Linked DNA regions of Kluyveromyces lactis. The protein of the gene in region 2 purifies or fractionates together with the protein of the main gene of each other region. This does not show direct contact. Links are inferred from orthologs where the notes say so. Each region holds a gene or a part of one and is shown on either strand. Other genes may lie near its edges.

What was found. The genes of interacting proteins can lie anywhere in the genome.
Region 1: the proteins of CDC27 (region 2) and APC11 purify together in Saccharomyces cerevisiae (affinity purification with mass spectrometry; 4 studies listed by BioGRID, with this or other methods). This does not show direct contact. The link is inferred for Kluyveromyces lactis from reciprocal best matches to the Saccharomyces cerevisiae genes CDC27 and APC11.

The regions. Positions count from the first base shown.
Region 1 is NC_006041.1:1,570,149-1,572,670, reverse strand, and holds APC11 (anaphase promoting complex subunit 11), read left to right. Parts: upstream 1-1,164; coding exon 1,165-1,653; downstream 1,654-2,522. Other genes in the region: KLLA0_E17733g (glutaredoxin), read left to right, coding at 312-947; inorganic diphosphatase IPP1, read left to right, coding at 2,438-2,522. UniProt on the Saccharomyces cerevisiae protein: Probably catalytic subunit of the anaphase promoting complex/cyclosome (APC/C), a cell cycle-regulated E3 ubiquitin-protein ligase complex that controls progression through mitosis and the G1 phase of the cell cycle.
Region 2 is NC_006041.1:1,858,819-1,863,431, reverse strand, and holds CDC27 (anaphase promoting complex subunit CDC27), read right to left. Parts: upstream 2,916-4,613; coding exon 783-2,915; downstream 1-782. Other genes in the region: KLLA0_E20879g (uncharacterized protein), read left to right, coding at 1-538; TMN3 (Tmn3p), read left to right, coding at 3,976-4,613. UniProt on the Saccharomyces cerevisiae protein: Component of the anaphase promoting complex/cyclosome (APC/C), a cell cycle-regulated E3 ubiquitin-protein ligase complex that controls progression through mitosis and the G1 phase of the cell cycle.

The DNA.
Region 1 (2,522 bases), about 290 kb from region 2:
ATAAATATGCATATATTCAGGATAGCGGGTGGTATCTAGTATTATTTATACACTATTTATGCTTTAATGCGTCCGGCAAACCCATAGGTATTCCATCCTTTCCCCTGTTTCTTTAGTTCTCTCTTATTTATCGATGATACGGCTGTTGGTCAAGAATGAAATAGTGAAATTTCTTGCTATTTAAGAAATTGGTTCTTGTCACATACAACCTTAAAATGATGAAACAATATGAACAAGACACGTTAGATTTTGGACACACCGTCTGTCTACACTTTCATAGATTATCAGATCCCAGGCGTTGTTGAAACGAGATGTTGAGTAAGAGAAGTTTGAGGCTGGTAAGTCTCACCGGTATGGTGATTTTCGTTCTTTTCTTCATCAGGCACAATGCAGAGTCCGTGACGCGTTCTTACGTGGGGAAAGAATCTAGCAACCTCGCGAATGATGCCAAGGTCGAGAGTGACATCAACAATATCCAAGAAGGTATTGCTGAAACCAAGAGTAACGCGGTTGTTGCTGATACCAGCAACGCAGTTAAAAATATGGCTGGGCCCAACGGTGTGAAAGACTCTGATTTCGCTGCTGAAGTAGAAACATACAACGCTGAAGCTGAGTACAAGAATATCCTTTCTCAATCACCAATCGTGGTGTTTTCTAAGAGTTACTGTCCTTTCAGTACGAGGCTCAAGAACTTGTTGAAGGAGTATGAATTTGATCCAATTTATACTATCGTTGAATTGGATAAGCATGAGAATGGAGCTGAACTACAGAAATATATCGGTAGCAAGACAGGAAGGTCTACTGTTCCTAACGTTATTATCAATGGTATATCTCGTGGTGGTAGCGATGAATTTGCTGGATTACATGAGGATAATTCATTATTACAGAGCTTGAAGACATGGGCCGGATCTACTTTATCCGTGAAGAAAGCTGCTGCTGCGACTTAAAACTTGGCCTATAACATATATAAACATTCGTATACTATACTACAGTGGATCTGATCCCTTTATTAAATTTGTAATAGAACCTGTGACACTTTTATGCATATGGGTATAATATATTATAAGAAAGGATTAGATAGGAAGAATTGAAAACACAAAGACAGAACGAAGGGAACTGTGACGAGGATAAAGCCTGCGATAAGGATACTTCACCCGTGTTACTATGCGTATAGAGGTAACAGATGTCAGTCTAGTGAGCACTTGGGCGTGGGATATTCCCAAGGATTTATCGAAAGGGAAACATGGTGTTGCAGATCAAACGGTACATATGGAAAAATGGGAAGATATACAGAATGAAGATGAGGATGCAGAGAACGATGAAGAAGAATATGAAGTGTGTGGGATCTGTCGTAACCGGTACGATGCTACTTGCCCCTCCTGTGATTACCCTGGTAGCGGATGTCCAATTGTGTTAGGATTATGCAATCATAATTTCCATGTTCATTGTATCAAGCAATGGCTAAGTACTGAAACATCAAAAGGGTTGTGTCCCTTGTGTAGACAAGGATTCCAGTTGAGGCCTAACGTTCTGATAAATAAGATGCACCATGATGAGTTCCAGAAACTGTTGATGAGTGTGAGACAGCACAACATTCCGATGGGTGGTGGTGAAATAGATCAAGATGTGATGGATGATGGCTTCATACGATGAAGGGAAGACTCGATATGCTGAAGATATGTGTGTGTACATCTATTTAATTGGTAATAGGATAGAGTAGTGGTTCAAATCATCAGTGATGGGCTAAGTATACTAGGTAGCGAGGCCATATTACAGGTGGTGTCTCTTGCTCACATGAGACAAAAAAGAAAATGCTTCCAACCAGAGTCGAACTGATGATCTCCACATTACTAGTGTGGCGCCTTACCAACTTGGCCATAGAAGCTGTTAATTTCTTGTTTGATGGGGTAAGAAAAACAACTACACCTGATACTTTTACAATCAGATGATCAAGCTCATGTGAGAATACACAACCACTGGTTCAATAAAAAAGGGCGATAAGCTAACCAGTATACTATTGTAAAATGGTATCGTGTTGCAGTCAATGTTTGTTCGTCAGTACACACGTCGATTGTACGTTGACCTACCGTTTCAGCAAGCCACGACCATGCGGTACCTATCGTGTGGCTTTTCCCCAAAAGCACTCTTATCACGTGATTTTCCCCTAATGTGAAACTCTGTTACTACAAAGAGAGAAGCATGATTAAACCCAATGACTTTAAAAAAAATACACTATGCAACTGCAACTGTATACAATCGGACCAAATATATACAGACCCTAATGTATACCCTAGCACACCTACACACGAACACAGAATCAGCCACTTCCTAAACTATCGCTTCTTCAAGCACCAATCTGCTTCTTTTCCATCCTGTCGTTCTCTCAAAGTGGACGACCTGAGGAAAAAAAAGTTGCAAAATTCATATATAAATAGGAATGAAAAATGCCTGCACTGGTTTACCATTGGCCACTGACGCCATATATATGATCTTAGGTTCTTCAATTGATATACAGCCTTATA
Region 2 (4,613 bases):
TAAAGGGCGTTATTGCTTTAAATTGGTTCCTCCTCAACCTGGCTCCAAGAAAGGTCTAACGTTTACTCAGCCTCGTGTACATTACTTCGCAGTAGACACCAAAGAGGAGATGAGAGCATGGATAGCAGCTCTTATCAAAGCTACCATTGACATTGACACTTCAGTTCCTATTATCAGTTCATGTGCGACGCCTACCGTTTCATTAACAAAAGCTCAGGAAATGCTGTCCCAAGCGCGTGAAGAAACTAGACTGAGAGAGCAGCAAAGGTCACTGAATGAACATGACGAAGACTTATGGGATCAACAAAGAGCTGAGCAAACTCAAAGTTCTGAAGATTTTGCTAATATTTCCTCGCCAAGTATTACGCATAATACGACTATCACGTCTGGATTAACCAGTCCTTATTTAATGGCTGGTCAGCTAACCTCAAATACGACTGCTAATACTGGAAATTCATCGACTGGTTCGAAAACACTATCAACTCAAGGAGGAGAATATTTTGGCCTGGATCCTAAGTTCATGAGTAATCGTATTTGATCTTCACTGATCATTCTCCAAAGAAATTCGTCGACTGTGTAGTATTTTTTATGTAGATCTTTAGTCCTTCGTCTATCTGTATTATTATCATTAATATTATAATCTTCAAATCATCTGAGAACACTCATATACACTGGGAGACGCTATTTTTGAAGGCTATATAGATAACTGTAAAAACACGTTGTGTGAAAGAATTTGGTTGAAGGTTCAAGTAGATTTTTTGTAACGATATATAACAGATTTATCAACCCTGTTCATGACATTTTTCCATGGCTTCTTTTATTAATTGACTACCTTTAGGGTCTAGGTTCATTGCAATAGTATATTGATTCATTGCATCTTGCTTCTTACCCACAATTTGGTACAGGTTACCAAGCAAAAAGTGCACATGAGCTTCATCAGGGGTAAGTGATTCTAATCTTTCAAAATTATGTAGCGCAGAAGAATACTGTCCCATGTTCAATAGAAGTTGTGATTTCTTGAACAATGCTAAAGACGAGTTTGGTTGTAACTCAGTTGCTAATTCGTAGAAGTTCAAAGCTCTCTCTGGCTGCTGTAATCTTTCTAACGCAACGCCGCAGCAACAATTCAAAATGACATTGACCGGATTCAAGGCTCTTGCCTTCTCGAAGAATAATAGTGCTTCTTCAAACTTTCCAAGTTTGACACAACACATTCCAAGTCCGTAAAGTGCATTGTAATGAGTTTTTTCGATAGTTAAAGCTTTACGGAAGCAAGATTTTGCATTGTCGAATGCATCATTATTAGAATACTCGTGCCCTTGTAAAGTGTAAGCGTAAGCAAAGAATGGGTCCAATTGAATTGCCTTTCCGAAAGCAGTAATGGCTTCGTCGTGATCTTTATTTAACGAATGAAGATTCCCCATGCTGCACCAGGCAATGGGGTTATACTTATCCAACGTTAATAGCTCCGCGCATAAAGCGGATAAGTGTGTTTTGTCTTGCAAATGCCATAAAACGGTTGAGAAGGTGTCCATATCTTGAAACCGCGTAGGTTGTAAAGTTCTTAATTTCGTGAAGTAAGATTTAGCCATTTCATAATTAACTAATTCAAAATGTAGCTTACCCAATGTGGATAAACACCAAGGCATAGACACCGCTATCTGTAGTGGAATGCGATTTTGCATCATGCGGATGGCTTTGAATGAATCATACCTTGACTTGCAATATTCTATATGGATGAAGTTGGAGAAAAGTTCATCCAAATTTGAGTCAAAAGTGCTAATGTTTGGCATCTGATATGAGTTGTTGGTCATAATTTTTTTATCCATGGGAGACCTTAACAACTTGGTTTGGGAATCTGTTCCTGACAGTTTCGATGGTGTTGTAGTTCCGAGATGTTTAGTATCGATAGAAGATGTGTTTGTAGTGGTTACATTTGCACTTGAAGTTGCAGTAGTTGGTGTTGTAGTAAACCTTGTGTGTTTTTTAAAGAAATGAGGAGAAATGGATACACCAACGTTAGAAGCCGATAATAAGGATGTAGTTTGGGAGTTGGAAAGGTTTTGTCTGTTTCTGGATGGAGCTTTAAATGGAGTTTGAGGCTTATTCCTAGATCTGGAATCCATACTACAGTTTGGAGGTGGTACCGTCATCATTGCTGCAGATGATTGCGAGCGTGTAGGCGCATTCTTCTGGGATTTGAATACCGTAAGAACCAAACTTGAACGAAGAACACAAAGTTCTGTGCTCGCTTCCCAGAGATAAGGATTCCCATCCAAGGAAGATCTGAGGAAAGTTTCACTCTTAGATTCGTGATCCAATAATTTGAATAACTTCCCTACTAAGAGACAGATTGTTGATTTCTTCGGATACCCAAAATGGGATAGACAGGTGTCCCAACAGGACTGTAATGATAATAGACAATCCAAAGCGTCTGAATAATTCTTCTTCAATTTCAAACAACATCGAGAGTATACGTAGGCACATGCAAGATTATCATGTCTTCTTTCAGAGGAAACATGCATAGCAGTATGAAAGTCATTGTTCAAGTACAGGGATAGAGAGTAAAAGTAATTCGCAAGCGCTCTTTCCTGAGATGATTCGTCCAGATTCGAGCATTCCGCAAATAACAACTCTGAGACGAAAACGGCGGATTCTATGTTCAACTGTGATAAATGATCCGAGATTAGAGTTTCAAGTCTTTTAAATTTCTCTGAAAGATGTGAGAGATTCGATGAATCAACATAATTTGAAGCAGAGGCAGCTGCTGCTGTTGCTGCTGCATCTGCTGCGGAGGTTGCAGACGGCAGGCCGTTGAAGACTGATGCATCCATAATTTCTTGATTGTGACCACCTAAACTATCATGAGCAGGCACATTTCCACCAGCATTCTGCCGCACAGAATGGAATAGCATGGGTTGGTTAACTTAAAGAAACCAACAGCACTTCTTAAGTTCTCTCTTGATAAATTTGCAGTGCACTACATACATTGCACCTCTCCCTCATCTATGTATACAAAAACAATATGATTTCTAGATTTGAAATTTATCCTGACATAATGATAACAATAATAATTACAGTCACGTGATGTGCTTTTTTGAGCCTCAGTAGAAGTTGTTACCCGGTCATTACGCTAACATGTGTATTGTCCTCTGGCACCCATGCACCACGTATTGTATATCTCGAATTTTTGAATCGATTCTTGATCTGCTTTAAGGAAAGGCAAACGGAAAACAAAAACAGAGCTTTATGTGCAGAAAGGGTCTGGAACAAGAAGACACTGGCCAGCACAGAGGAAACTGTTTTTTTTTAGATAGTCACAGAGGATATATTGTCTCACTCAGCCTGACTAAATAAAAGAAGGCGAGAGACAGCACAAGGGCAGATTAACATATTATATAATTAATGTTTACGAATAGCTTACAGAATGTGTAGAGTGGATATTAATACAGTTACGTTAATATAGACCCCATACGTGGAGAGTAATGTACGTAGATATATATATCCATCTTATCGCTGCCGTGTACTAACTATTCAGGATAATGATTCCTTTTCCAGAAGAAAAAAAACGATTTTTCAGAATTTTTCCTTGTCGATTTTCTATTCTTCGAGATGAGCTTTTCATATTTAAAGCATATCTCAGGCAAAAAGGGAAAAGAGTAGAGGAGAAAGTTTAAATGGTAAACAAGACTTCACTCTGAGGTTTTTGATAGGATATATATATATATATATATATATATATATCTGTATTATACTACTGTCCTGGTTTTGGTTTTGTTTTGGTTTTGGTTAATAATTTTCCTGGGGTTTTTTTCTTTTGATCGAAGAACACTGGTATCCGCCCTCCGTGTTTGTGTGTGACATTAAACTATTATATTTCCTTAACACAATTATTCATACTGTTCCTCATTTATTTCTGTCTTTCGCTTTAGTTCATAAACCATTAACACACGCAGCCACCACTAAACTCTTGTTATGAAACTGAAATCAAGATCGGTTCTAGTCAGTTTACTGGTACTTTTAAGTCTAATATGGGTTCTTCCAAGGCTGAGAAATCATCGTCGGCCTTCCCCAGATGCCAACCCATTCAAATTTTCTTCGTCGTACCAGCAGCACACTGGAGTTTTCAAAGAGTACGGACTATTGAGTCCGAACTTCTATGAGTATGGTGATAAGGTCGATATCACTGTGAACAAAGTCGAATCTGACTTAACTCATTTCTCGTATGGATATTACGACTTACATTTCACTTGTCCACCGTCGCAGGACATGAAACCTTTACCCTTGACTTTCAGTGACATATTATACGGGAACAAGAAATGGCAATCGGACTATCAGCTGACGTTCGGTAAAGACGAGGATTGTGTGCGATTATGTGATAGGAAAACTAACGGTGAGGGGAAGAAACAAGCCTATGAATTAATTAAACAGAATTACGTCGTCCAATGGTTGGCCGATGATGATTTACCAGGTGCTACCACGTATCTTAACACCAAAGATAAGAAAAAATACTATTCATCGGGGTTCCCACTGGGTCAATACGATCCAGAAACTGATGAGGCCTATATTAATAACCATGTCATGATTGTAATTCGTTATCATACCATCGATCA